Astyanax mexicanus: one gene and its partner. The protein of the gene in region 1 purifies or fractionates together with the protein of each later gene. This does not show direct contact. Links are inferred from orthologs where the notes say so. Each region holds a gene or a part of one and is shown on either strand. Other genes may lie near its edges. The genes, in order: esyt1a and atl3.

Region 1 (16,125 bases):
TTCCAGAGCTGTATAAAGGAGAGCCTAAACCCTTTTGAAAGGATCAAATCTCCTGTTTTTTGAAGCCGCTTTGCATCACTAGAGGTCACATCATTGATTGTTGCTCCCTCTCATTGAAAATGTATGACTGTGTAGCCTTTGCCAGATTTCACTCACAGGCCTGCGGATGAAGAACATGGTGATAGCTCCAACAAGAGGAACATCTCCAATCAGAGGCTCCAGGATCACCCTCAGCTTTCCATGAAGCTAAAAATGCACAAAAACATTTTAGAATCTGTTTTTTTTTGTGGAAAAGATTTTTTGTCCTGTTCTTTCTTCATGACTGTTAAGCTTACCTGAATTCCTTTCACTCCCGCTTTGCAAAAGTACTTCTTTACCTCCACATTGATCTCCACATTTCCAGCATAGCTGTGAACAACAAGTCAAAACAAGTGAATTAAAATCTCTATGCAAGGTTGGGTGATATCTGCATTTTTCACACTGTTCATAACGTCACAAAATATAACACATGGCATCAAATATAGTTATTATTATTATTGTTGTTATAAGTGTATATATATATAGTTTATCCTCTTCAGTAACACAGATGCTGTGAAGTATTGTAGAGAATGTCTTGTGATATATCAAGTATCACAGATTCAAAGTACCATGATAATATTGTATCGTGAGATGCCCTGTGCTAACCAGCCCTATTCTACACCATCTCATCCTGCGCTATTTTAAAGTCTGGACAGTCTGTAGACTAAAAAATGCTTAACTGTTGCCAATCAACAGAGAGGAACTGGTTAGAATTAGCTTAGATGAAACCAAGATGATACCATGTTTTCCTGACTGAAACCCACTAATAAGCATTTAGCAGTGAATGTGTATGGTATATGAACAGAGAGGTAAAATGAACGTTTTTCCTCGATGTGTTGGTTGTGTAGTCCACATGCTAAGCTAACCTTTACCAACAATTTTTAAATACTGCTCTTATTTGGAGATACTGTATCCCACATTTATTATTGGAATTATTGACTCCAGTAAACCCAGGCCACTGAGTTAAAAGTATGGACGTACCTGATATAAAGGTCTAGTAACACCTGACGCTTATCGTGCTCAGTGTGAGCCTTTACTCCAACCACCTTCATGGCCTGCAGAAAGAAACAGATTCAAATGGATGTTTTAGAGCTGTCCAAAAACGATTTACTGATAAAGGCTGGCTAAATTTGTTCAGAATATGATTCCAATATGTGACAGATGTCAAACAGAAATAGCAACACATGCTCCCATATTTTGGTTTTGTCAAAAAATTCCTCAAATTCCTTTTATTTCTCTTTGTAAATACAGATTTTTTGTTTTTGCGTGTTTCTAATACTTACATTTTTCAGATTATCAAACAAACCTTAATATCAGACAAATATAACTTGAGTAAATATAAAAAAGCACTTTTTATATTATGATTTCATTTATTAAGGGAAAAACTATCGAAACCAATCTAGCCCTTTGTAAAAAAAAAAAAAAGAAAAAGAAAAACGGAAATCTGTGAAAAATATCAGTATGACTAAAAAGCAAAAACTAAAGAAATCTGTAGGGGGCAAATAGTTTTTCACGCCACTGTACACTCTTATATACACATACATCACCATATGCTCTTCTGAGTAAATTTCTAGAGGACCTGAGGAATATAATTTGTGTATAATTGCTCTACTGTATGTGCTACACCCAACATTTGAGAGACAGGCCAACTACAGCACAAAGTAAAACTAGTTAAATAAGGAGCAGATCAGCACCTTGTCACCCAGGTCCACTTTGGTGAAGCTGAAGGTTTGAAGGTGGGGGCTGGTGCCCCTGATTGTCGGGGCAATCGTCTCCACAAGCAGTTTCTCCAAATACTGGCCTACAAATGGCCAGGCCTGCTGCAGGATCTGCACAGCAACACAAACACAGTAAGAAAAAATATTATATAGAAAAAGGAAAATACCACCTTAAATTTCAATAGAAGACAATGCAAAACTATTTGTATCATCTACAGCTTTGTAGGCCACTTAAAAATGATGAGTTTCTTTGATTTTACCACATTTAAAACCTCTGGAATATAATCAAGAGGAAGATATATGATCACAACCATAAACCAAGCTGAACTGCTAAATTTTTGCACCAGGAGTAAAGCAGCATAAAGTTATCCAAAAGCAGTGTGTAAGACTGCTGGAGGAGAACATGACGCCAAGATGCATAAAAAACAGCTAACTGAAAACTGTTTATCTGGGTGAGGTAAAATGCTTATGTTTATTTACAGTAAGCTTAGATTCACACATTTCTCCAGCACTAAGGCTGGAGCATTAGCATTAGCATTAGCATTAATGGCTAACAGCCTGACAGTCCTACACTGAGGAACTCTGAGTGCTCCGGTAAGCCAGGGCAATATTAGCTAGCGATTCGTCGCTACACGGTAAACGCACAGACTACAGGTTGATAATACTCACCTCTGAACAGCGAAAGAGCTAGCACAGTTAGCGGTTAGCGGCTAATGCTGCTCCAGCAGTGCTAGCTGGAGGTTAGGAGCGCTGGAGAATTAAACTAAAACTTTGCTTTGCTGCTCTTTAATACCTGACTGGTAGGATTCATACATAAGGTGCACTGGATTATAAGGTGCACTGATAGTTTTTGGAAAAATTAAAGAATTTTAAGTGCGAAAAATACACTAGTTCAATCCAAGAGCATAAAAAGCACTGCGGCAGGGTGGGGTCCATGAAAAAAGATCATGTGACACAGACAGAAAAAAGACTCAGACAGACTTGAAAGCATGAGCTTGAGTAATACCAGCTCTTTTCGCCTGATGTCCTCGCCACAATCTCTTATTTGTGTCCTACCTCTTTGCTGCATTCCTTCAAAGCACTGGAGCGTTTTTTTACTCAGTCCTGGTCTGTCCTGCAGCTGCTAATAAACAACTCAGAGTCTTAATGTCTTTCTGATGTGCAAAGAGTTCTTATAAGTGTTCATTTTTTATGGAAACAATGGCCAAAAGCCAACAATTTACTACTTAAAACATACTATAATATGCACTACTTCCTTTTCTCTAAAAGTAGGATAATGGTAGGATATCATACCTTATTTAGCCATTCAACTTTCTCCACATCTGGGAAATTAACCTGCAGAGAAAATCACAAAATCAAGTTTGGTCAACACAAGTGTACAGTGGCAAGAAAGAGAATGTGAATTATATGGATTTAAGTAGGGGAAATTCATGATTTTCTGCATAAATGTGTCAAAAAAGTATTGAAAAATATAATCTGCATAATATAATAACACAAATAAATCTGATCTTGCAGGTTTAGGATCATTAGTAAACACACTCATTCAACACTGTTCTGTTTTTTTATGGTTGTTCTCAATAAAGACATGAATGAATCATTAATACCTTTTAAGACTGATTTTATGACACATCTTTGTAAAACCATTCCAAAACCTCCAAAGGGTTCACATACATTTATTGCCCCTGTATATAAAGTATAATGTTTATAGACATATTCATAATTTTTGTTACAGTACAACACAAAAAAACATATATTTACAATCCAACAATATTTATTATGTTCAACAGCGACCCATTCATTTCGGTTTTACAACAACAAATAAAAAAAAAGGTGAAACAGTATAAAAAACATTTTTTTTAAATGTATTTTCTTTTTTATTTAACTGCAGACAGTATAAACCAAATATATTTCATGTTTTGCCTGCTACACATTCAAGAAATGTTGGAACATGCACAATTTAAGGCTAGTAATGAGGTAAAATAAATAAATAATGCTGTGATTTCAAACATGTAATGTCAACACGATTTGGTACACAAGCAGTATCCACGTTGGGGCTCTAAAAGCGGACTGACGCTCAGCCGTTTGATTCTAATAAAATGTTCTTGTTTTTTTGTTTATTACGGGTTTTTAAGGGTTTTTAATCTCCACTTCCTGTCAGAGCCACAGAATTAAGCACACACCTGTGGTTTTGTTCAGATATGAAGTGAGAGAGGAGCTTAACTTCCTGGCGCTACTCTGTCAGAGACAGATCTGTAAGAGCCGTTAGGTGAGGTTAGTTTTGGTGGTCTACCAGGTCTTGGATGGTTATTAGGGAGTTTTTTAATAGGTTTCCCAGCACATATCAGTTGTATATCCGTTCACGATCATGAATTAATCAATTTAGAGAGGTATCAGAATTTTACGTTATGGCTGCATGATATTAGAAAAAAATTTACATTGCCAGTAGTTTAAATAGGAAGTACCAGTGTTGGTCACTTACGAAATTAAGCAGATTAATCACAGAATTACTATAATTCTGTGATTAATCGTGATTAACCACACTTTTTCTCTTTAAAGATAAGCTTTAAATAATGTGTATTTAGGTGTAAATAAAATTGCTTCCCTTCCAATAGGGAAGCTGGAGAAAGTGCCTAAGTAAATAAAACTGTAATTCTTTAAAGAAAAAACATTTTCTTTTAAAGTCAAGTGAGTGCTGGATGTTAATCTACACAGATTTCTCTTCCAAACACTGTTTCTTTGGGTTCGTAAAGTGCTTCCGTTCATTTACAGCAAGCTTAGATGTGGTTAGCGGCTAATGCTAATGCTGCTGCACACAGCCTTAGTGCTAAAAACTTCACTGACCAACTGAAACTAAACTTCACACAGGGTCCATGTACTCATGAATGTACGGAAGCTGAACACTATTACAAAGCCACAGAATAAGAAGGCACAGCTTTTCACCGTACAGAAGTGAAAGAGGATGTGGGTAAAGCTGACCGAATACCAGTGCTTAGTAACCAAAACCCTATTATACAGATGAGCTATTCTTACTGTCCTCCTCTGCACCTCCACCCTGCTTCAGAAATCGTCTTTAAAACGTCTTTATAACAGATTCTTGCCATAGTTCGCTACCTGTACTCGCTCCTGAAGGCTTACGCTACCTCCCGGCCGCTGCGCTCCTCCAATGAACGTCGCCTCGCTTTGCCAAACATTCACACAAAGCAATCCAGACTGTTCTCATACAGAGTTCCCCAATGGTGGAACAAACTACCTTCTACTACCAGATCAGGAGAATCTCTCGCTATCTTTAAGAAACTCCTGAAGACAGAGCTCTTCAAAGAGCACTTACTCTCCTAACACCTCTAACTAACTACCTTCTACTACCAGATCAGGAGAATCTCTCACTATCTTTAATAAACTCCTGAAGACAGAGCTCTTCAAAGAGCACTTACTCTCCTAACACCTCTAACTAACTACCTTCTACTACCAGATCAGGAGCGTCTCTCACTATATTTAATAAACTCCTGAAGACTGAGCTCTTCAAAGAGCACTTACTCTCCTAACACCTCTAACTAACTACCTTCTACTACCAGATCAGGAGAATCTCTCACTATCTTTAATAAACTCCTGAAGACTGAGCTCTTCAAAGAGCACTTACTCTCCTAACACCTCTAACTAACTACCTTCTACTACCAGATCAGGAGTGTCCCTCACTATCTTTAATAAACTCCTGAAGACAGAGCTCTTCAAAGAGCACTTACTCTCTTAACACCTCTAACACACTAACTACTACTAACCTCATTTCCTTCTTCCCCTCCTTCACTCCTCTATCCTATTATTCCCCTTTGACCTCCTTTTATCCCTATCCAAAGATGTTTTACCGTTAAACTTATTTTACATTGTACTTGACTATTGTAAGTCGCTTTGGACAAAAGCGTCTGCCAAATGTAATGTAATGTAATGTAATGTTTTGCCCAGTTCTTTCTCTGCATCTCGTGGTCTGCTGACTCAGATCCTGAAGATCTGATCTTTAAATGTCCAAATATAGCCAGCGCTGGCGGGGCTGTGGAATGTGGCAGCAGTAATGAGGGATGGGGGAGGAGATGAGGATGGAATAGAAAATGATCAACACAAAATAATGAGATCCTGTATGATGCAGCGGCTTTCCTTTATTGTCATTGCTTTATATTGCCCAATGTACACATGATAGTATAGGACAGTGATAAGCTAGTTCCTTAATGGCCATAATAACAACAGCATAACTATAATAATACACTATATGTATGGATAATTAATGCTTAATTAAGGATTATATTTTCTATAGTAACTCATAGCATGATAAGGATATACCATCAGACATTAAAGAAAATCTACACTGTCACCTCTTGTCAGCAGAGCTAAAGACAGTATTTTCTAATTAGAACTTTGTGGTACATCAAAGTAATCTGTGTGGCTTGTGGCCTCTGGACCTATCCAACTCCCTTTTCCCCAAGGCCCATTTCCACACACCAGGTTGTCAGGTATAGAACACTACAGCATGCAATCAATGTGCTGCAGCCATGAAAACAGGCAAGTAGGCTATTTTTCTTGTAAACAGGTAATCGCTGAGCTTCAGTAAGGTTCGCTAACCATAGCTGGGTAATTCATCACTACTACATAAGTAAGTGGAAAACAATTGAGTCAGGAAATAGTCGAATATCTCCTTTGCCATGAGCCAGTAATCTCACAGATGCACGTTACACAAACTTGGTGAATGTGAATAAGAGGTGTAAGCTTGAATTAGCAGCTGTCTTATCCAGTTATATTCAAGAAATCAGAATAGGTGTATACATGTGCTAGGAAATCTGATTATAGAGCTGATTATATTGCCTTAAAGCAATCTAAAGCATCAGTATATCAGTATACTGTTTACGTAACCACTTAAACAATTAGATAACTGCAGAAATATGTACATTTGAACACACAACCTTCTGAACTGAATTGCTATTATGTAGTCAGATGTTCTGTCTTCTAAGTTTTTGATTAAGATGGTTTATTATGAAACAGTGCCCTGTGGTGAAACTTAATGACTCATATTTTCTTAATAGTGGTAGCCATTGTAAACAGGAGCCTTTTTTGTTATTATTTGTAATTATGACATACTGTGTCGTTTCAACAACATAATAACTCATAAAAATGAGATACTTTTTTCATAATTACGAGTTTTTTATTTCATAATTATGACATAGTATGATGTTTCAACAAAATAATAACTCATAAAAACAAGACACTTTTTCATAATTACGAGATACTTTTTTCATAATTACGAGATGTTTATTTGATAATTACGACATAGTATGACGTTCAAACGACAAAATAACTTTCAAACGAGATACTTTTTTAATAATTACGAAATACTATGTTGTTTTGACAACATAACTCATAACATGAATATACATTCTCACAATTACGACATACTATGTCGTTTTAACGTTGCAATGACTCATAAAAACGAGATAGTTACTCGTTATAACAACGTGTGAGAATTAACGTTACTTTTTTACGCTTCGTACGTTAGAGGGTCTCTATAACTCGTGTTTTGTGTCCATATATGTTTTTAAAAAGTGCTGTACCTGATTCTTCCACACTATTTGTTATTTTATCCTAAACAACTGTTATTAAGAATGTTGTACATATGTTTCCCGAGCTGTAAACATCTGCACCACATCTGTACAGACCCCCACAGCTGGGTAAAGCTAGCTATAGCGGCCCCGGCGGAGGTTCTCTTACCCAGGCGGGAAGGTCTCTCCGGCTCCTGTAGAGGCGGCCGGTGGTGAAGTCCCGCTCGTTCTCCTGAGCGTACATGGCGGTGTTCAGCCTCGCCTGCTTACCGTCGCGGTGCTGCCTCCATCCCAGATACACCATGAGGCCGATCACCACGAAGCTCAGGCTCAGCCCGAAGTATCCGGCCAGGTAGACGGGCAGCAGCGCGCCCAGGCACTTTCCGAAGGCCAGCAGCACCGACACGGCGTGCTGCCCCGCCGTCTCCGCGCTTACAGCCGAACCCGCATCCTCTCCAGCGGCCATGGCCACGTCTCTGCCCCGCCAGACCGCTACTCTCCCCCCGCCGCCTCCGGAGCTCAGCTGCGACGTCCGCGGCTCATAAACACGACCGGGCTGGCTGAGGCTATTGAAGGCTGGGCGTTATCAAATTAAAGTATTTTTTAGGATTAAAACAGAAGCTAACTGTCTCTTAAACAAACATAGCAGAGCTGCTGCTTCTGCTGCCGGGGCTGGGCTGGGGTTTTATCTGGGCGGCTGGTGTGTGGGGGTGGGTTCCTGCCCTCACCAACAAGCTCAACCCTCAAAAATGTAGAGCCCAAATACTGCAGTTAGCTGGCAAGCTAGCATATCTGAGGGAATAACAAGCGAACAACGCGTTATAACGTCTTCTTCAGCTTATCTAGCTGTAAAAACAAACATTCTTTAAATAAAAACTCTTCTACTTCAGCTAAAATGTATTTAATGATGAGTCAGTTGGTGTGAACACATGCCAAAAACAGAAGAGGGTGTGAAGAAGCATCAAGTCAAAACAGAAAACTACACTCCAAAACCACACACTGCTGTACACCACCTCTAATAATACATTAAAACGTTTTTTTTTTCCATGTATTCCTTTATTTCTACATTGTTGATTAATATTGAAGATACCAAAACTTTGAAGGAAGACATAAGCAATAATGAAGTGTTAAACCAAAATGTGTTTATATTTTAGATTCTTCTAAATACCACATGTAGCATTGAGAATGAGGACAGATCTGCACACTCTTGGCATTTTCTCAGCATCTTGAAGGGGTTCCTGGAGGTTCTGAACAATAGTTGCATAGTTGCTGCTTTTCTTTCACTGTTTTACTGTTTTCATGCAAAGAAAATAAGTTTATATTCATATATATTCAAAGATTTATGAGTTCAGAAACCAATATTTAAAGGAATAACTATGTTTTTTAATCACAGTTTTCATTCATCTTGGCAGGTTTTCCTCCACCAATCTTACACACTGCTTTTGGATAACTTTATGCCACTCATGGTGCAGTTCAGCTTAGTTTGATGGCTTGTGACCATCCGTCTTCCTCTTGATTATATTCCAAAGGTTTTTAATTGGGTAAAATCTAAGAAAATCATAATGTTTAAGTGCAATTGCAGATTTTTTTTGTTGGGGCCATTTTCACACAATTTTTAAATTTCATTCTTTTCTATTGGTGCATTAATGCATACCCTGTCATTTCTGCACCAGAAAACAAAAAGTGTTTTAGCCACTTTATTAGAAACACCTACTTTGTAACAGTAAAAATAGCAGTAGTGCATGCTACTAGAAAAAATAGATATACATTTCTTGTTTAATTTAAGGTACACTTTCTCTTGCAGTACATTTATAAAGCTTTAGTGCCGCATGTGGGCACACCACCTTTGCGTGCGACTGCAACATCCGTTCACTGTAGAGAGAAAAAAAAAGAAAGAGAGAAAAAGAGAAAGAGGCAGAGAGAAAGAGAAAGAGAGGGGAAAAAATGAGTAAGCACCGAACACACGAAGCACAGCATGAACACAGTCACCTCTTTTCCTTGCATACTGGGTCATATGCCTTAATTCCAGTGTGTGTGATGCCTGAGGTGTTTACATAATAAGAGCATGTGATGAGCCGAGCTGTCAGTGTTTTTAAGGGAGGCTGATAAACAGTGTGTGTGTATGGAACGCCTCTCTGCCTCCAGGGCACTGATCTGTTTATAAAAGGAAGGAATACAGAACAGACAAATTAGTCAAGCACCTATTCCACGTTCATTAATAGTGCTGCAGTGTGTTGAATTATGTGAAAAGCAACCACGTTACAGTATAGATGTATTAAACATTTCACAGGAAAAGCAGGCCTGGCTCCAGGCCTAATCCATCCAGACCACCTGCTCTGTCTCTGTGTTTTTTCCCACTGGCCTTGACATAAATAGTCATGTGCCATTTGAATAGAATTCATTTATAATGTTTGTATGTATTTATTCTTTATTAATACAGTAATACTCAGCTGGGACTGAATGTAAAATGGCAATAAAAGGCAGTGTATCTTACATTTACTTTGAACTTGATTTAATATTTTAATAATTAAAAAAAAAAAGGTGATGTCAACAGGTGATTATATCAGGAGTTGTTAACCCACAGCCCAGTGAGCTGCACAGAGCTAGAGCTGCTGACAAGGGAGCTGTGTCAGACTCTAAAAGTCATTGTAATGTAAAAGTCACTTTTGTAGGTGAATTTAGAATTTAACTTGTCAAAAAACACCAGAATACTGGAAATGGCATCTAATACATAAATAATGTTATGGGGAGGACCTCCCCACATTAAACATGCTTCTGACACCCCTGCATAGACTTTATAGAATGTAAATTTACTTTCTTTCAAAATTTTAATTTATTATAGCTAAACACTACATACAGAACAATTATAATCTTATACAATAATAAAAGCTGTTAAAGAAATGTATATCTATGGAAATGGACTTTAATATGTTTTTGAGATATATATTTTTTGAGAACATTGATTGGTCAATTGAGCTAAAACCGACCAACCAATCATGATAAGGAGTTACATATTGTCAGATTTAACTAATTAAAATCCATCAGATAAAGAAAATTCATATCCAGAAGATTATTATTAGTGTAAGTACTAAAATATAATTATTTTGCTACAATAATAAACACCTCAATAAATTGATTTTTCTTTACTTCATACCCCACGTTAGAGACAGTACTAACTGGTTCATATTTACCTGCTTCAGCGTATCCTATTCTACAAGAAATATTTCTCTGCATGGAGTAGACAAACTGTGTATGCATTTACACATTTGCAGAGAAAAACATGTCATTAAAAACCAGCAGCTGCTGCTGTTTCTTCCAGTCTCTCTAACAGCACATTATGATGCCCTGGATACACAGTATAATCAGTGTGATGAGGTGTGAAGCCCAAAGTTTCCATGCTCCAGTCACAGACCTTCCCCTAACACCTGGGTCATTTTTCACAATACTGTACAGACTTATTTTAATTTTAGACTTTACATGAACCAAATCAAATTAAACATAAATCACTTTATATTTTTACTTTTAAGTTCCTGATGTGCATTATGCCCATCCTGGTATGGCAAGCTGACAAATGTGGATCTTCATAGCAAAAATCTGACATCCCACCCTGTTAAATCATTGCAGGGAGGTAGCTCTTTCACAATGTGGTTGGAACCCTGAAATTTTGTTATGTTTTTTATTACCCCAATATGTTGCAATGACAACTTAAGATTAAACTAAATAAAGACAATAGAAATATTAAGCGAGACTATTATTAATTGTTAAAGATGGAGCAGTGTCTTTATTAAAGTTGATTTTATTGATGTCAAAAGCTTTTTTTTAAGGGATGAGGTTAAGACCCAAACATAACAGGGATGGCACCAATTATTGGACATGTTCAATGATCAAATTCCCAGTATCTAAATGCAATAAAAAGTGTATGAAATATTCAACCACGCATCGCTGCAGCCATAAAAAAGCCACCCCAAAGACTATAAAATGAACAAAAAGTACTTTAAAGTGAAGGTTAACACTCCTCTGTATCAGGAAGTGTGTTCAGTGAGTTTTTTAATGTATTGTTAAACAGAATTTGCAGAAATAACTGGTGTGTTTTCCTTACAAATGTAGTAATCCCTTAAACTGAACAGTTGATATGAAATCTAGGAGCATGCCCTGTACAACCTCAGGGTTACCGGTAGTTATTTTACTGGTTGAGACCTCCCTTTTCGCTCCACAATCCAGTACCCATCTATTACCAACATAATTCTAGAACAGACCTCTCAAAGCACTTAACTAAATGACCTTGGCCTCCACCCACCCAATGCTTCCTCAAGAGAGCTCATGAAGCTTAGTGTTCTTGATGGATCTCTGCTCAAATAAACTGTAGTTTCCAATTCATTCAGTGCCACACATGAATACGTTTTTAAAACAGATTTTATTGGAGGTATTAACAAAAACATGCTGAGCTGGAGTTGTCTGGAATGTCCAAAGAGAGTTCGCAAGGCCATCAAAACCCAAGAGGCAACTGAGCAGCCAGGTGATGAAGATCCCACTGTCAGAAGTGTCTGGCTTCATTCAGGGTAGATGAAGGGAACCTCTTCAGTCGCTCTTTGCAAGACTCTTGCTGAGGGAAAATCCGAGATGATCAGGATGGAATCCAGCTGCAGCAGACAGGGTGCAGTTTACTTAGACCTCTGCCTCATCTTTCTCCTTTTACGCTTCAGCCTATAAAAGAGAATCCATTAGCCTTTCTGCAAACACTAATCACCAAAAACACATTTAAAAAAAAAAAGTCCCTTTAAAATATAACTACATACCTGCGCATACGCTTCTTTCTCCACTGAAAGGAAAAGACACACATGTTATGACATATGTGGATGTACAGCATGCTATACAGTCAAGTCAAATTGCCATCAAAATGAAGCAACTGTTTTTAAAGTATTATAAAGGACTCAATAAGGCCAGGCAAACAGTTCTCTTGTATGCAAACATTTGAATACTATGCATGTTCTATTTTCTATGCCCTCCCTCCACTTTACATTTTATGCATGTGGTGAGCAATGGAACACAAACAAGTTGTGCAATGAAACAAGGCCTAAATCTTCAAGCCAGCTAGTTTACCTTGCTAAACTACACTTTTGGCAATGTTATGGTGCAGTAAGATGTGGAGTATTCCCTTTAACATGGGTCTTTAGCTATGCTCCTGAATAGAGACTCTGCAGCAGAATTTAGCACCAACCACCAATCAATACTGCTCAAGCAATCTCATTATATACATGTAGAAGAGCTTGGTCAGTTAAAATGAGCTAAAAGTGGAATGGAGTACTGGACAATTTAGCGATTTCCTGCACCACCATCTACTCTGGAAAAACATTGTCCAAAAACTAAAGTAAATTAAAAGGGAAACAAATCTCAAACTACAGTCAGCTTGTTACATTAACTACAGTCACAGAGCATGTGCAGGTCTCAAAGTCCAACTGCTGCATGATTTAAAGTGGAACAGAAAGGTCAGTGCAACGATTTAGTTCAATTATCTGACTTTAGGCCAATTAACTCCAGTTTGTACATTTAGTACAGTAAAAAAGGATCATGAATATGTTAATCAAGTTGTCCAATTTTATGGCTTTTTTCCTTTAATCTTTACTCAATATATTAATTTCTCCATTACTGTATCTTGCAAAAGTAGGCTGGATTATACAGCCAGATTTGTTAAGAGGCACAAATTAATAAATTAACACTTTCAGACCTTGCATCAATTACAATAGACATCATGTGCTTTGTTTTCAAATGTTTTGTTTTTTACGACAATAATTAAAACCTGGTGTCCATCAGAATAAATCAAACAATCAAACAAGCCAAAGAAAGTGGCTTAACCTCACCCACTGGACTAGAAAATAAAAATTAGCTCATTTTTATAAATTTTAATTCACCATCATGTATTAGAATACAAATTTGGTAATATGATTTTTATACAACCTAGATTTGTATATTAAGATGGTGCCTAATGCGTGCATTAGACAAAACAGCATTGATATATTCCATTTACAGAAAAATAAATCAGGTCTGTAAAGGTTCTAAAAAAAAAACAATTTCCTGAAATTCTGATTGTGTAGCATGAGTTAATATTAAGAAAATCTGAAAAATGTTTAACAATGAAACAGAAAGACAATCAAACAAAGCCCAATTAATCCCAAATAATAAATAGTCAGTAATAAAGGAAAATCATAATTTGTGGTTAAATATTAACGCTGATCTAAAGGTGCAGTAGGCCTGCAGCACCATTCACCAGCACGCACGCCTTCATGCTAACGCTAAAGCTAATGCTAATCAACCAACAAGCGTGGCTAACAGGGGAAACAGCACGATCTTATCCCCTTCTGACACTGCAGAAGTAAAGATTACGATCCGAATTAAACAACAAAACACGAATTAAAGCTTTAAACTGGTTTAGGCGGGAGATAAGGCCAAGTACCAGCCAATTATTCAGCTCTTTAGGGCTCATTTCTCTGAAGGGAGCAAAAACATTTAACTTACTTCGCCATTTTTATGTTCGCCAAGCTAACTGCTAGCTTCAATGCTAAGCACCATTAAAAGAAATGCCTAGTTTCCACACAAACTAACGTTATGTTAATGAAATGACTTCAAGCATTTAAAAGACGACTTGACATTAATAAACAGCAGAAAAGGCGCTTTAAAAGCACATATTTCAGCATTAGCTGGTCACTTTTCTGGTCAGTGCTGTGAGCTAGGCTAGCCGCATTGCCCCTAGTGAAACCCAAATCTGCACAAATATACAAAATACGGTGATAAATCACTGACTTACCTTCGCTCTCATGTTGGAAGCGTTCCTGTAAGAAAGAAAAAGAGGAGAACTTTAGCGGATGGCTCTTAAACAAGCGAGATTAAACTGGATTGTTCAGATAGACCGGTTAGCCAGTGAAGAGCAAAGAGCTGCCTCTTACCTCCACAAGCGAAGCAACGACTTCAAGAGGGCCTCATAACGGCAGCCGCGAGCTTTTATACGCTCCTGATGCGTCACGCACTCGCCCGCCCACCGAGCGGGATTATGGGTAACGTAGTAGAACAGCAGCATGCAGTGGCAGGCAAAAAATATGCCATTGGACACCCAACGTGTTCACGTCTGATCAGTGTGAATCATTATATAGTATGTAGTTATATATATATATATATATATAATTATATATATATATAATTTTCTTTTTGATGTACATTTGTTGTGATCAATGGTATTATACATTTGTATATAGTATGTATGAGTATGTATCATCATGGTATAATATATAGTATATAGTATATCATCTTTCTTTGCACCCATCCATTTCTCTGATATTTTTTGTTTCAGGGTTGTTTCTGCTGTCAGAGGTTAGTGACATTTTAGTTTGAAGAGGCACAGAAATGTTTATGTTATTGTTTTTTTATTATTAATAGTATAATACAGGAAATGTATGTGAAAATACTTAAACGGGAAGGACGGCAGAAAAGAGGGGTAAAATATGGTAGTTTCCCAGCCAAAACGGGAGACTTGACAGTGTGTATAGTTAAAAAGATATTAGTTTTTTTTTTTTTCCCCATTTTTTGTTTTTCAAAATCTGAGATACGGGAAAAAAATAGAACTTTTAATATTTAATATTTATATTTTGTAAATAAACTCTAATGGAAAATCTGATCCAATCAACATTTATTACATTAAAAAGCCACTAAACCCTAAACCATATTTTTTTCTATTAATAGCTAAAATGTGTTACTTTAAAGTAATGAAACATACCAGCCTGACTCAATTTTTGTTATATAAAAATGCACCCTCTTAGGTTCATCTTTGGTACGCAGACCCTCACAATATGCAAATAAGTTAATCAATAACACCATCCCCCTGGTGACGTCCAATCATCTGCGTCTCACCGCTATCTGAGGAACATTGCTGCTGCTGCAGCTGAGGCCAATCAACTCTACCTTCGGCCTGCCCCTAAACCCATACATCACCCAATGCCCCTCCCAAACTAACCCTCCCATTTTTTAGCAGTTTTCAAATTTGAGCAACTTGCTGGTGTAGTCAACTAAAATCAGGGGGTTTAGTTACCCTTTAAAAGACACTGTTTATACACACAGTGTTCCCTTTTTAGATATCTGAAGGAGTCAGAAAATTCCAACAGTATAAAGATACAGTACAGGCCAAAAGTTTGGACACACCTCATTCAATGCGTTTTCTTTATTTTCATTAATATTTACATTGTAGATTCTCACTGAAGGCATCACAACTATGCATGAACACATGTAGAGTTTTATGTACTTAACAAAAAAAATGAGCTGAACCTCCACAGTCACCGGACCTGAACCCAATCCAGATTTGAGGTTTGGGGTGAGCTGGAGCACAGAGTGAAGAAGACAAAGAGCCAACAAGTAAACACCTCTGGGAACTCCTTCCTTCAAGGCTGTTGGAAAACTTTTCATTTCAGGTGGCCACCTCTTGAAGCTCATTGAGAGAATGATGCCAAGAGTGTGCAAAGCAGTAATCAGAGCAAAGGGGGGCTATTTTAAAGAAACTAGAATATATATATTTACATTTTTGGTTATTTCACCTATGTTTGTTAAGTACATAAAACTCCACGTGTTCATTCATAGTTTTGATGCTTCAGTGAGAATCTACAATGTAAATAGTCATGAAAATAAAGAAAACACATTGAAAAAGAGAAAACGTTCGGCCTGAACTGTACATGACCCCACTCATCCCTCACACGAACTATTCTCCCTCC
Region 2 (15,964 bases), on another chromosome or scaffold:
CACACTGCCTCAGTTAGAGTCACTGGACCCACTCCCCATCCAGAATCGACCTCCTTCCCCAGCCAAGCCTCCGTTTTCCTTCAGCAGTCTCATCTTCATGGCGATTGAAGACTCTCCAGATAAAAGGCTTCCAGTGAAAGGTATCTACGAGTGGATCGTCAACAACTTTCCCTACTACAGAACAGCCCCCAGCGGCTGGAGAAACTCCGTCCGACACAACCTGTCCCTCAGTAAGAGCTTTCGGAGGATACACCGGGACAAGAGTCAAGTGCGTCTATCTATCCGTCAGATTTGGTTCACATAAGTTGATTCAAGATGTGTTAATTCACTATTATAATATAAAATCTGTTTTTTTTTTTTTAAAATCATAGTCCGTTGGAAAGGGGTCACTATGGTGCGTTTGTCCAGAATTTCGTCCTGCTCTTTTGGAGGTGCGTCAATAATGTGATCTTCTGCCTATATTTATTTTTTTAGTGTTTTGTATTCAAAAAATGGTTTAAATGCCTGAATTTATGAACTATGACATATGAAGTACCTCACCTGTGTATGAACTCACTTTAACTTTTCACAAAACATTTGTTAATTGTCATTTTTCTGTTATTTAATGGTTTAAAATGTCATGTAGTGCGACATATAATATAATAGAAGTAACTGTAATATTTTTTTTTTAAATGATCTAATCATTGTGGCTAAAATATTAATCGCTGATACTCTAAAGTTAAATGGCATTTGTAAAAGTTTCTATCAGTTTTCTGTAATTTACAGAAATGAATAAATAATGTTTGGTAAGTCAAGTTAAGAAGACTTAACTCTCTCTCATTATTGGAAAAATATGAAATCATTATGTACAGGTAGATTATTTATTTGTTTCAAACACATTATGCTTTTGAGAACTTAAAAAAAGCACATTAGTTAAAGAATATTCAGTTTAAGATAAATCATGGTTGCACCACATGACATTTTACATATAGTTGAATGAACCCCCCTAAAATTTAAGTATAAAACATAGACTGTATATAAAGATGGACGCCGTGTCGCCGTTCCCATTCATTCAATGAAAATGAAGCCAAAATCTTCCGCCATTTTGGCGATTCAGAGACCAGAGTCTGCGCAATAGAGACCAGAGGAGGGAGAAAGACTGTGGAGAGACCGCCTACTCATTTAAATAACCCCGCCCCTGAGGGCTGCCTCGCGGTCACAGACTGCAGAGCGGGGCGGAGCGGAGCTGACGGTCTGTTATTGGTCCCGCCCATAACCAGCCCTTTTACCATAACCACACCTTTTTTGAATAGAGCCGAATAAAGTTTTAAAAACCGAATTCTGTGGGGATATAAAAATTTGACAATATAAGCAGAGGTTACACTAGCTGTTGCATTTAAATAATGGAGGTAGAATTACAGTATATTAGAAAAAAACGTGATTGAAAGTTGTCTGTTTTGCCATTGAAACCTATGGGGATGGGTGGAGTTACACAGCTTTCTGCAGCCGAACAGCAGGGGGCGCCCGACCTGTGGTGGCTTCACTTTTAAGAGACGATGCTCTGTCCAGCTATATACAGTCTATGGTATAAAAGGATGTGTGCATGATATTGTAAATGTTTGAACAATTGCAAAATATGCTCTTATTTTTTTATTTTAAAACTGGCCTGAAGATTTAGTTGAAAACCTTTTGTCATTTGTCATTTATTCAGGTACTTAAGAAAACCTATTATTGTCACAGTAGCAGCAGCAATTTACTGAACAGCCGCACATTGTAAGTATTTCTGATGGTTATTTTTAAAAACATATCTTTATGATAAAATTATTAACTATGTTCTGTGGTCAAACTTATAATATTTTTTTATTTTTGGACCAGGTTGGAGGCAGCTGAGTATGGACAGACTGTTATTATGGACACTACAGAAATTTCAGGTTGGGCACTCATGACTTTCACTTTGAAATTTTGAAAGTAGTAATTTAATGAGTTACCGTATAAAAATAAAAAGTGTAAAATATTATGCAAATTAAAATATCTCCTTTTACACCATAACTACCCATGAGCTTAGTAAAGCAGTTGTTTCTCCTTATCTCATGCTCGGCCTCCCCTTTACCACTTTTTGCTAAGCAGGCGTTTGTGTTCTGTTGTCCTGACAACAACCTGGCATTGCCGTGGCAACCTATAGCCAGGACGACATGATGGCTGGCCTCTTTATTTCTGTGCTTTTTAGTGCGGAGCTTATGTAAAGTGATTTTCAGGCCTGTGCCCGTGTTTGCATTCCTCTTTCTTACAGCCTCTGCCCTATAGAAACAGCTGGCTGTAGTGAGACAGATGCTTTCATGAAGTGCTCGTTAATCTTCATTCAGTCTTGATGTAAACTAGAGATGCAGCGAAACCGAACAAAGTGACACATTTGGCCAAACGTTGAATATCTGACAAAAAACACTTTTATTTATTATTTTTTCTACATGTTTCACCTAAATATAGTTTATCTTTATTTTCCTTTTGTAATGAAATAACAGTTACAAAACTTCAATTTAAAAATATTTATTGCATTTCTTTTTATCCCAAACAGACACATATTTCAAATTTACAGTGCTATTTTAGTCATATGTTTACCTCAGCTTTGCCATTTTAATCATGAATTTCAGTGTACTGATTTGGAAAAACCCTTGGCCTATGCATGTATATATCTGCCAATGCTGATAAACGTATTTCTAAATTACAGAAAGATACACATGTAAGAAATGCGCAAATGTAACATTTATTTACCTTGCATTTCAGCTTTTAACAAACTGTATGCAAAAAATAAAATGAAAGGTTTCCCCTCAGAAATTTCTTTTCACATTTGTTGGTTTAAAATGTATTCAGCTAAATGGTCCTAACATAGATTGCTCACAGCTCTTTTAATAAATTAACAGGTTAAATAAAACAATATATCTATTAAAACTAATAAAAATGCTTAAATCCATTCATTTTAAAGTAGAGAGTAGTGAGATATTTGCTAATATTGGTTGCAAAATGTTTTTGGTTGCCAAATTTTCATTGCATTTCTGATTTAAGCACAGATCAGAAGGAAGAGTTAAAATTATGGGAAGATTTAAATGCAAGCATTGCTGTGAGCACTGCTGATAGAAATTATAGCTTCAGTTAGCTTCAGTTGTGTAGTATTGTTGCTCCTGTATAAATCTGTATAAATTCTGCTCTGCTCCATTACACAGACCTGGATTCGAATAACCCACCTCTGTCCTCCGACCCATCCTGCTCTTTGATCCCTGATCACGAGGAGCTGGTTGCCATGGAGTCGGTGGAACTGGAAGAAGAAGCCTGTGAAGAGCCGGAGAAGGACCCGCTCGCAGACAGCGGCTACATCGAGTTCCACTATTACCAGTGTCAGCAGTACCAGTACCTGGTTCTACCAGGAGATACGGAACTGGACCTGGAAACTGTTGAGATCCTGCAGCTTGATGCTGAGGCTCAGGAGGCTGCAGGATCACTGCTGGACTTGGCAGGAGGAAATCACTGATCACTGATCAGCCACTGTCAGCTAAGTATAAACATCTTAATGGAGAGATGAATAGGATCAACTGTCATGCCTTTTACATCATTTCCTTTGCTTTTGTTACTGACTGTTTTTCTAAAGAAACTGCCTGAATTTTATGTTATTATAGTGTTATATATGCGCAGCGTTTGCAGCTGTTACTGAACAATAATGGTTGGAGTGATATAACAGGTAACTTCAGGAGAAAATGGATTTGGCCATACAGCTTTTAGGTAGTGTGTATAGCATGCACACATGTATAAGGTACAAGAAATAAAAGAAAGACTAACATAAATTGCTTTGGGATGACTGAGTTTTGCACAATAAAATGATTAAAGAACAAAAATAAGGCCGAGTGGTCCAGCGGTCTAAAGTGCTATGAGCAGGAGGTTGCAGGTTCGAACCCCAGCTCATGCAGCTTTGCCTTCAAACTTCCGGCGTTTAGAAGAAAGCACAATTGGCCCTGCTTCCTCTGGATGGGTAGATGGCGCTCTCTCCCCACATCACTCCTATGGTGATGTCTGCAGCACAGGGCATCTGTGAGCTGATGTACCGGAACCGAGTCTCTGCACTGTCCTCCAAGCGCGCTGTGATGCTGCTCGGCAATGCTGCATCAGCAGCAGCTCGAAAAGAATAGGTGGCTGACTTCACATGTTACGGAGGAAGCATGTGTTAGTCTTAGCCCTCCTGGTGTGTTGGGGCATTACTAGTGATAGGGGGAGTCCTAATGAGTGGGTTGGGTAATTGGCTGTGTAAATTGGGGAGAAAATGGGAAAAATTAGAAATAAAATTATAGTAAAGAACAAAAATAAGCAACATTAATTAGTTGGTTTTAAACTGTTCCAGTACATACTGTCCACATAAGAAAAATAAACTGCAGAACAGACGGTTTTCAATTTAATCTATTTTTTGGTTTCACAAATATCCGCTCAGTACCAGTTAAAAGTTTGGACACATCTTTTCTCATTCAGTGTGCCTTTTTTCTTTTATTGATTTTGTACATTGTTAATTTAATATTGAAGACTATATTAAAGCTATACAGGAACACATGCAGAACTATTCTGTAACAAAAAGTGTTAAACAAACCAGAATATAGAGTTTTATACTTTAGATTCTTCTAAGAAGCACATTTATCTTTGAAGCCAGATCTGCACACTCTTGGTATTTTAATCTCAGTGTCTCTTCATGAGGGAGAGTCACCTGGAATAATTTTCTCAGCGTCTTAAAGGAAGGAGTTCCTTGAGGTGCTGAACAATAGTTGCTTCTTTTCCTTCACACTGTAAAGCTCCAGCTCATCCCAAATCAAATCAAATCACCATCTCAGTTCATCAGATTTAGATCAGGGGATTAATGTGGAGGATTAACACTTTTTTACTATGTAATTCCATATGTGTTTCTTTAATTGTTTTCATGAATTTAATATTAATCTACAAAGTAGATTAGAGGTAAAGAAAAATAAAGAAAAAATAAATGCAAAAGTGTGTCCAAACTTTTGACTGATATTGTATATCTATTCATTTAGCCCACGGCACTACAGACCCCCTTTCCCCTTCATACTAGACTTATAAGTAGTGTTTCAGCTTGTACTTGTTTTTTGAACGAGGCACTGAACAAAACAGCCAATAAGAACAATAATAAACAGTCAGTTACGAATAGCACACTTAAAGGTACATTAGCAGAAAACACCTGTTTTATTATAAATGATAAAACAAGGTTTGAAAATGCTATTCAAAACATAATACAAATAATAGATTAGACCTATTTTTTTCATTAAAAAAACACCAAAAATAAACTATAAAAGTAAAATATATAACAAGTGCCCTTTAACAACAACAGTATCTTTATATCTTTGTTTATTTAATTGTGTAGACAGCACTGTTTATTGTTAGAGAATAGACTTAGTGCACTTCCATTAATAGAGATAGATCATTAATTTAAACAGATTGTACTGAATTCTTGATTCATGAACTCTGGATGGTATAGATTATAATATGTTGTATTTGAAATAAACTGCCAGCAGCTCCACATCTTCTTTAGGATGTGCATAGAAAATGTAATGTCTAATCTTTGTTTGATTATTAACAAGGTGCAGTTGAACTGTTTTAACATTCACTTCTGTTCATTTAGTTAAACTGTTTAGAAGTGTGTTGAGCAGTTTGAATGAAAATGCCCCCTCTTTGTGTTTATATGTAACGCACTTGGCAATAAACTTCTGAAGTGATGACCACCTTTGTCTCAGCTTTTATTATTTTAGACCCATATTTGAAATGAAACTGTTTGTTTTTGATAGCTATGCTACATGTGATCTGTATGTCAAGCTGTTTTTGGTTTAAAGTGACACCAGTCATACAAGGCCTTACTCTGATTTTACTAGTAAATCTCTTATTTTAAATATAAGCTATGGATTATTACTAGCAATAATATCAGATTTATTTTTGTAATTTTGACAGGTTATGTGTTACTATAGATTAACTTGATCTTTCACTTTTTTGTCTATTACATTTTTATCAGTGAACAATCAGTAACAGATATATATATAATTACGTTTTTACTTTTTTATCATTTCAGTTTTACTGGCAAATGTAATTATAGGTTTACTATTAAAATAAAAAAAAATACTATTTTTACTATTTTTATACAGAAGAAAATATATCCATATATCCCAGAATATCCCAGCTAACATGCTCATATAGGGTTTACATGGTTGGAACATGGGCCAGGTGGGTTCCAGGTGGGCATGGGTTCTGAGTGGGTTTGTACATGTATTGTTTGGGGAGCTCATTTAGGCTTCCTAAATGGGCCCTGTGGCTACAATTCATCTGAAAGGTTTCATTTGGCTATAATTCTAACTAAACTAAACTATTATTCTTTTTTAAATACAGTAGGTCACTCTGAGTTGCATATGCATGCTGCACAGGAACAGGAAATGGGGGGTATTTATACAGAGCATCAAAGGTGAGAACAATTAGAGTAATTAGAAGGATGGAGAGTAAGTGAGAGGCAGTGGCACTTGACTGGGAGAGTCCGGAGTAGAGAGCACAGGGGAATTCTGGGATGTGTAGTTCTGAGTCAATGAAATAAAGTCCATGGCTGTCAGGCTGGCCTGACACCAATAGACAAAAAAAAACTATACAGGGCCCACGTGGACATGTTATCTGATATGTGTAGTCAGACTGGGTTTATTCATCTTAATATCTGTAGATCTGATGTTACTACTAAACTACATTTTAGAGCTGTTACATAGCCTGCCTTACTTTTGTTATGTAAGGTTTGGATGGAGCTGCTTGGACATGAAGTTCTCTACACTCTACTGTTCTTGATCTAATCTAATCTAAATGTTTCCCCTGTGCACTATGCTCCTCAGCATCCGCTGACCCCGCTCTGTTATTTTACACTGACAGAGCACAGAGTGGCTGTCGTTCCCATTCTCTTCCACTGTGTTATAATATCACTGACAGTTGACTGTGGAATATTTTGTAATGAGGAAATTTCACAACTGGGCTTGTTGCACAGGTGCTGCATCCTATCACAATATCACAATGGGGTTCACTGAGCTCCTGAGAGTGACCCATTGTAGAAGCAGTCTCCATGTGCCCATGGAGGTGTTGGGAATACCTGAATACAAGCATTTGGATAGTGAGCGAATACTTTTGGCAATATAGTGCATCTAAAATGAGACTTAAAAAAAAATTAAGAAAAACTGCATTACTTTTTATAGATAAAAACTGAGTTTTATGCTAAAACATCTTTCCATGAATCTGTATTCGATCTAGATTTGAAGAACTCTGTGTCCCAGTTTATTCTGGCAAAACTGCTCATTTGCTCCATGTGTGACTCACTGTGGTATGTTTAGTAGACACTCCCTAAGGCAGCAAGAGTCTGGCAAAAGTTTTTACAAGTAGACTGCTTTTACTTCTGGCGGTCTGAACACTCACCCTTACTCACTCACTCACTCTCACCTCACTCTCTCTAAAAGTAATCTACTAATCTACTTGTTTTGACAGCCCCCCCAAAAAACATAACACATAAAGTAAAAAAATCTGTGTTTGGTAGATTATTTCTTTGTTGTAACAATGCTTCAAAATCTTACTGTTGGAAAGCCTGTTAATTTCTCTTTTAAATTATGCCACGTTTGTAAGGAACATGCATTTGTGGAATATGCAGCAGCAGATGAGGCCTTCAATTTGGAGATACTGGTACTGGCATCACGCCAAATAATATGTTAACTTGGTTTTGCAGACCACCAGCTTAGGCACTATCCAGATCTGTCAATAGCATACAAATTCTTGGAGCAGACACCTATTGACCACTGTAGCAGAGCCCATGCTCACAGGTGCTGCGCCTGGGGGTACCAAAAGCTCCCTGCCAAAATTGTTGGCAAAGACGATTTGGCATATTTTTTCTATGGGCGCAACCCACATACTCAGCTCTGCTGCTCATCCCACAAATGCTCGTTCCTTAAAAATATGGGGCGGAACCACAGGGGCATTGACCTCAGCTTAAGTTCCTCTGTCCTGTCACTCATCTGTCCCTTGCCTGAGAGAGATGATCAGATTATGTGGTTGCAATTTCATGCTGTGTGTGTCTGAGAGTATTTTGTCTTTGTACAATAACAATGTCAAATGGTGAAGGAGATTTTTATAGGTTAAAATATCAAATTTGCAATCAAAATTGCAGTTTATATACATATAGAAGTGAAAAAAATCAAGCAGAAGCAAATGGGAGATTTCAGAAGCAAAAGATTTTCAGAAAAGAGCAGAAAATAACAAAAATGAAAGCCGAGACAGATAACTGTTTTCAGATAATTGCAAAAAATAATTAATTATTTTAAAAATTTAGATTTTTAAAAAATTTTGATTGCAGATTTTTTTGTGTGTGTAAAAAAATGGGGAAAAACACAACCACATACTATGTTTTATAATACACGTGTGTGTGAGTGTGTGTGTGTGTGTGTCTCCCTGCTGGTGGAAAGTGTAGCTTGCTAGGATTTCCAGTCAGTCACGTGGATGCTTTGGGACCTGTAGTTCCTAAAGCGTGGAAGTGTGACTGTGGGAATGAGGCGATCACATTCAAATAAACTACAACTCCCATAATGCCCTTCGCTTTGGAAACATTCGCAGCTCTGATTCGCGGTTGGAAAAAAAGTTCCTTTTCTTTTTATTATTTCCAGACCTGGGTTGAGCCTCTGCTCCGGAACAGCAGAGAGCAGCTGTGCCAGCTTCAGTACTCTCAGATAACTACATTAAAATAGGGTAAGTTAAACAAACTTTAGCTGTTTTTAACGTTTCAGTCTTCGACCGATGTAACAGGTAGGTTAGCTAGTTAGCTAACCTAATTAATTGTATGGTTAAAAAAGCTAACTAGCTTGGCTAGCTAGTTTTTAGCTTGCTGGGTTATGAAGTGCTGGCTGACAGGCGTTGTTAGCTAACGTTCGTAGTTAAAAGTTAAATATTTATGGTGCTGTTGACTGCTGGAGCTTAAAACACTTAAAACACTAATTCAGGAACAGTTGGAGCTATGTGTAAATATGTTGAGTTGTTAAGATAGTTAGTTAAGTTAATTAACCTAATCTAGTTAACTAGGTTAGCTAGGCTGCAGTGTTTTCTCAATACACGCATTAAATTCGTTTATTTGATCTAGTTAGATAAGATAGCTAACCAAGCTAAGTAAACATAAATAGGGTTCCTAAATTTACAGTACATAAGGAATAGTTAGCTTTTAGCTGATTTAGCAAACGTGACTAGCTTAGCTAGTAGAGCTGGGCGATATGGCTCTAAAATAATATCACGATATTTCAGGGTATTTTTGCATAACGCTATACTTGGCGATATAGGGAAACTAAAATAATTAATTAATTTCAGGAATATAGTATAATAGTATACCAGTATAATCATAATGTGGCAAAATAAATAATATAGCATAAAATAATATAATGCAGCAAATAATATTGCAGAATATTAAGTGCATGCATATAAACTGCAAACTAAAACAATTATACAATAAATAAACCTAAAGCTTTACAGTAAATAATAGACTACTTTTAAGACAGAACAGCCCTATTATCACGATATGGATTTTTAATATCATGATATTTCTGTGTCACGATATATTGTATACGATATAATATTGCCCACCCCTATTAGCTAGCTATCTTAATGAAGCTTTATGTGAGAGCAATGTTTATATAGCTAGTTAAGATAGCTTTTTAGCTAAGTTAGATAACTTACCCATTAACTGCGCTAGTTTTAAGCTATAGCTAGCTTACATTTTTTAGCTACGGTAGTTAACTAACTAATGTGACCAGCTGCACCTTTCTAGCTTTTTATCTGTGGAGGATTTTCATGTACTTTTTTGGACGTTAACTCCTGTGCAAGTATGCAAACTTGACACGTATCTGGTGGCCATGGTTTGGGGTTTGTAGAGCCACGCCAATTTCTCTCTCGACCTCTGAGAATCTGACAGGAGGGAAAAAGAATGTGCTGGATTGGGTGTAACTTCAGGTGACGCACCAAAGCACTAGTATCTTTTGCTGGCTATAATTATCACCTCTTCTCTTCTGTAACTTTGCTTTCTAGTGTGACCACATTTTTAGATGTAAGCTAGCTACAGCACCAGTCAAAGGTTTGGACACACCTCTTTTCATTTAGTGTTTTTTTTTTCTTTATTTCTTAATTGAATGTATTTTCCAAATTGTAGTTTAATATCAAAGATACCAGACAATTAACTGACTGTTACTGTGCATTGGTAGGTTATGTAAAATCCTGTACCTTCAGCTGGAACCTTTTAGCATGGAAGGGGGTGTAGGGGGGTGTACTCTATTTCGTTTGGGGGTTTGTGTATGTTTTGGGTTGGGGAGTTATGTTGTATTTATTGTATTTTCTTTTCTCTGGTTTTTTATGTTTAAGTTTGTTTGGGATTATTTTAATGGAAAAATTAAACACCCCAGACTAGTGTCTTTGTATGTTATTGGTCTGGTGGATCAAGGTTTAGAAAGAGAGGGGGCTTATGGGCTGTATCAGGGAAACATATGGAACTATGTATTACTCCAAAAAAGTGTTTGTCCTCCACAATCCCCTCACCTAAATTTGGGATGAGCTAGAGCATAAAGGAAAAGCACCAACTATTGTTCAGCACCTACAGAAACTCATTTAAGAAGCTGAGAAAACTTTATCCATCTTTGTAACTTATGAAGTTTCTAAGTGACATATAGCTTTTGAACCTCCTGAGAGCATCAGTACAGGACAGTGTTTAAGGGCATGCAAAGGTGTATAAAGGTGTATGAAGGGGTATTAAGGAGTATGAAGGTGTTTGAAGGTATATGAAGGTGTGTTCATTCATCTTTATTTCTTTACTATTTCTTTACTATTGTAGTTGTGTTGGGTAAGTGTGGCAGACATTTTTTTTTTCTTTTTTAATTCAGGCCTGTTCCATGTGTTCCTGTATAGCTTTAATGTCTTCAGTACTACACATATTATGTAAAACAAACCATAAAAGGAAATTTTGACTTGTACTGTATGATAACAGCTAATAATAATTTTACAGTGTATGGCTGTGTGAAGTGCTGCATTAACAGCTGCAGATCTTGTAAAGTTTGTTTGTACCAGCTTTGCACATCTATACTGGCTGAAAATGTTGCCCATTCTTCTTTGCAAAAAGTCAAGCTAAGTAAGATTGAAGGTGAATAGCCATTTTGGTTCCATTGTAGATCTGGCTGTATGTTTCATAAAAGCCAGATTTTCGGAGGTCATTACTAGTAGTTACTGTGAGCGGTTTCTCCCACCTGAGCTGTGGATCTCTGCAGCTCCTCCAGAGTGACCATGGGCCTCTTGGCTGCTTCTCTAATTAATGCTCTCTAGTTTAGGTCCTTCATTGAATAGTGCTCTGCGAGATATGCGTAGCTTGGATATTTTTATAACCTAATCCTGCTTTTTTACTGTTTTCAACAACTTCCACCCCTGGCCTACTTGGTGTGTTCCTTGGTTTTCACAATGCTGTTTGATCACTATTGTTCTCACAGAACAGCTTTAGTTATACTGAAAATAATTTATCATATTTATATTTAATAATAATTAGTTACAAATTTATTCATATTCTTATATTTTTATTGTAAATTAATAATCTAAATTACCTTTTTTAATATAATATGTATTGTCTTAGTTAGTGCTCCCAAACTCGTGCTGTACATTAGTATTTTTATTGTTATTGCAGTGAAAATTAAAAAATATAAAAAAAAAAAAAATACATTTTAACTGGGTGTTTTAACTACTACGTTTATGTACCCTTCAGGAAGATACACATCTGATTGATGATAACGTAAGAATGTTACCATGATTGTAGCTTAGTATCTTTAAACATTTTACTAAGAAATATGAGCATTAGGGGACAAGCAATTTTAGATGTATGCCCCTGAACCACTTCATATTGCTTGATATAATAAAAATTAATAGATTAATATTTTGGATGCCCCCCTTGCTGTAAAGATACTTGTGACTTTATAGTTAGAGATTCCATCGGGCTCTCATCAGTGAAGAATTTGAGGCATGTTCTCGCATGTGGTTTTATGTACCACACCTCACTCTACTATCATCACCATTTTTAAGCATGCAACAAAAGGTAGGTGGGTGTTTACAGGTCTGTGGTTGAATTATGAATGAAGCCAGACGTTCAGGCTTCGTTCCCAGCTGATAACGTGCATCTCACAAATGGCACATCTGTAAATGTGTTAAAGTAAGTGACTGTGTTTTTAAGAGGGAATTATTGCATGGCAGTGTTGATTGTACTCATTTGCCCACGGATGAGGGTGGTCCAAATGGCAGATACAAAGACACTCATTCACTGGAGTGTAGAATCTGTGAGTGGAGCACAGCATGCTTTTAACCTCTCAGCTGCTACATCACACGTTATCCATGAAACCAACAGACCTAACATTGTCTCAAATGGTTCCTTCCAGAAAAAAATTGTGACATCTTGTGATGTACTTAATTCAGTTAGATTTGTTGAGCTTAATTCCTTGAAAATAAATCAATTAGAAAAACAGACTATGCAATTTTGTGTATTTAACTCCTTACTCAAATCACTCTATTTGTTATTGACAGAAAGAGTGCTGCAGAAGAAGACCAGGATGGGTAGCGAACCTGGACCGGTCCAAATAGTGACCGTCAACAAGGAGGAGCACTCCTTTGACCTGGACACGGAAGCGCTTGAACGGATTCTGTTGGTGCCCAAGATCCGAGACATGAATGTAGTGGTGCTTTCTGTTGCTGGTGCCTTTCGAAAGGGAAAGAGCTTTCTCCTGGACTTCATGCTTCGGTACATGTACCGGAAGGTTAGTTCACTTACAACAGAACAATCCATTCAACAAAGGTTGGAAAACAAACTTAAAATTAGGTTTGCGCAAAACAAGTTTACACTTTTCTTCTTACTCCACATTCAATCTGTCGGCACAGACACTGGTTTTGGTTTCTAGAAATAAGGTTAATATGTTTTGGGTCATTGTCCTGCTGGAAGGTGCACCTCCACCCCAGTCTTGAGTCTTTTGCAGCCTCTAACAGATTTTCTTCCAAGATAGCCCTGTATTTAGCTCCTTTGAGCTTTGCTATCCTTGCTGAAGAGAAGCATACCCACATCATGATTCTGCCACCACCATGTTTCACAGTGGGAGTGGTCTATTGAGTGTGATGTGTGCTTTTATTTTCTTGCCACACATGGTTTTGTCAGAGCATTTAGGCCAGAAAATTCAATTTTGGTCTCATAATGTTTTAATCTCAAAGTAATCTTAAATTTGTTTTTTTTACCCATAAAAACTGTCTATTTGAACTATGTTTAAAGATTTGAACACAGGCATAATCATTTATTTTTCCGGTGTGACAGTCTAGTGACGACTGGCTTGGACGAGATGATGAGCCCCTGACAGGATTCTCTTGGAGAGGTGGTTCAGAGCCTGAGACCACTGGCATCCAGCTCTGGAGTGAAGTCTTCGTTGTGAGGAAAAGCAATGGAAAACAGGTGCAGTAAATGTTGAAATATTGTTTATTTGAATATTATGACCACCTCCTTGTTTTAACATTGACTGTCAATTTGATCAGCTCCACTGGCCCTATAGGAGCACTATGTACTTCTGTAATCCACAGCTGTGCTGCTGATGTTTTTAAAAACCTCCATGTCACTGCTGGACAAAAATATACTGTCAACATTGTCAAAATATACTGTCGTCCTTTTTTTCTAATAGTGGGGAATAGTGAGTGGATACAGTATAAAACTCCGGCAGCATGGCTGGCACTGCTCCATATATATATATATATATATATATATATATATATATTAGTCCACTAGTTACATTTTACATACATTTATTAATATATATATATATATATATTAATAATGTATGTATGTAAAATGTAACTAGTGGATGGATATAGATATAAATAGATATCGTTTATATAGTTAATAAATGAATATACTTTGTTTAAAGTGGTACTTGTATTTGAAGTGTATATGCTGCAGTAGTTTATATATTGTGTATAGTGACTTAAGGTACCTCTTTTCGAATGCATTTGGCTTGGATTTTGTAATAATACCCAATTATCTGCATGTGTTTAGAGCATCAGCGGACGTAATTATGACTCAGTACATTGTGGCTAGTTGTAGATTAATTTTTCTAGACTCATGGTCACTGAGATTAAGCAATCTGGATTTGTGTAAGGTCTGACTTCAGAGTTGGGGCAATCAGTAGGGCAATAGTTCTCTGTCTAGATAGCGCAATACATGGTTTTGCCCCATTTGGCCCACAGAGTAACATTTACAAAATCTAACTGGGCTGTGACTGGGTTGTGAATAATTTGGGTATTAACAGTTTATTACATATTTTGTTCTCAAGGTGGCAGTGTTGCTTATGGACACACAAGGAGCATTTGATAATCAGTCCACTGTGAAAGATTGTGCTACAATCTTTGCCCTTAGCACCATGACCAGCTCAATACAGGTATAATCACAATGCTTACATTTTTCATCTCAAACCTAACAAAGTGTTGTTATTTATTTTTGTGGATGTAATTATTAATTTGATTGTAAATGTTTATTTTGTCTGTAGATATATAACCTGTCACAGAACATTCAAGAAGATGACTTACAGCAGCTTCAGGTCTGCCCCACCATTCAACATATTATAATAAATGATGGGTATATATTTGATAAAATATTAGCTCCAGCTAAATCGCAATGAGCAAAAAGCAGCTTTTTTGCCAGCTTGTTGCTTGTTGTTATTAGAAATTTAAAAACAATATTATCTATTAAATAAAATTCAGCTCTCATAAAAAACACATGGAAAGGCATCTGCTTTAGATTTTAGAGCTTTTTATTCTAACTTTCTTTCTATTCTAATATTCTTTCTACAGAAGCTTGGCTTTTTTTCCCAAAAACATTTCTGGAAATAGATGTTTAGTGAACTGCAGATGCTCAAATTACCTGATTTGACCACAGTACTTTTATGAATATTTTTTTATTTCCAAGTTGGAGGGGCAGTGTTATGTAAAGCCCTGTTTGGGTGGTGAGGTGGGGTAATGTAATTATCACTGATCTTTTTTAGTAGTGCTGGATAATATTGCATCATTAATATGCAAAGACATTTTTACAATTTATCACGATACAATACAATATTATGTTGCCTTGATCTGTATTTCATTGGTTTTAGTATCATCTGAGTCAGTGATTTTTTTTAACCAACTCTTTGCTCTATGTATTGTTGAAATGGTTTGGTTTATTCATGTTCCATTAATTCCATTAATGTTGCCTACAGCTGTTCACAGAGTATGGTCGGCTGGCAATGGATGAGATCTTTTTAAAGCCTTTTCAGGTAAGATCAACTTGATTAATTGATTAAAGAGGACATAATATGCAAAACTCATTTTTTGCATGCTTTTGTATTTCTACTTTGGTCTCGATTGCCCCAAAATTACAAGCACAAAAAATTTTAATCCATCTGTTTTTTTAATCAGTTGAAAGATTTTGCTGTGAGAAATCATTTGCGTCTATGAGCCGCTTAGATGCTCCTTTATCGTGACGTTACAATAAGGAAAACATAGAACCACTCTAGCACCACCCCCACCAGAGCCCCACCCACTAGACAGTACACAGCAGAATTAGCCTGCAGACTTCATCTGAGGGAGGGACCTATACCTACTGTCTGTGGCAAGTCAGCAAATGAGGGAGAATTTCTAAGTACTTTTGTGTTTCTTTTACAGTTAAGCTATTTGCACAAAGTGCCAGAGCCCTTCAACGGCACATTCTATTAGGGACTAAAACTGGCAAGAACAAAGAGAGCTGTTGAGATATTTTAATGTGAGAGTGATTTTTTGCAAAGAACTTAATGAACATGTTTTGTATAGAACCTATACCCATTCTAAAAGAGGTATAATATGTCCCCTTGATTGATGGCACTGTGTATTTTGC

Evidence for each region.
Region 2: the proteins of esyt1a (region 1) and atl3 purify together in Homo sapiens (affinity purification with mass spectrometry; 3 studies listed by BioGRID and IntAct, with this or other methods). This does not show direct contact. The link is inferred for Astyanax mexicanus from reciprocal best matches to the Homo sapiens genes ESYT1 and ATL3.

The regions. Positions count from the first base shown.
Region 1 is NC_064420.1:2,967,984-2,984,108, forward strand, and holds the start of esyt1a (extended synaptotagmin-1), read right to left. Parts: upstream 8,078-16,125; 5' UTR 7,842-8,077; coding exon 7,545-7,841; intron 3,132-7,544; coding exon 3,090-3,131; intron 1,908-3,089; coding exon 1,773-1,907; intron 1,134-1,772; coding exon 1,060-1,133; intron 409-1,059; coding exon 336-408; intron 247-335; coding exon 157-246; intron 1-156. UniProt on the Homo sapiens protein: Binds calcium (via the C2 domains) and translocates to sites of contact between the endoplasmic reticulum and the cell membrane in response to increased cytosolic calcium levels.
Region 2 is NC_064417.1:45,868,453-45,884,416, forward strand, and holds the start of atl3 (atlastin-3), read left to right. Parts: upstream 1-8,623; 5' UTR 8,624-8,769; intron 8,770-12,612; 5' UTR 12,613-12,638; coding exon 12,639-12,842; intron 12,843-13,387; coding exon 13,388-13,522; intron 13,523-14,393; coding exon 14,394-14,498; intron 14,499-14,606; coding exon 14,607-14,657; intron 14,658-15,311; coding exon 15,312-15,368; intron 15,369-15,964. Other genes in the region: si:ch211-145o7.3 (forkhead box protein N2), read left to right, coding at 1-268, 372-431, 1,691-1,752, 1,855-1,910, 3,198-3,502. UniProt on the Homo sapiens protein: Atlastin-3 (ATL3) is a membrane-anchored GTPase that mediates the GTP-dependent fusion of endoplasmic reticulum (ER) membranes, maintaining the continuous ER network. It facilitates the formation of three-way junctions where ER tubules intersect.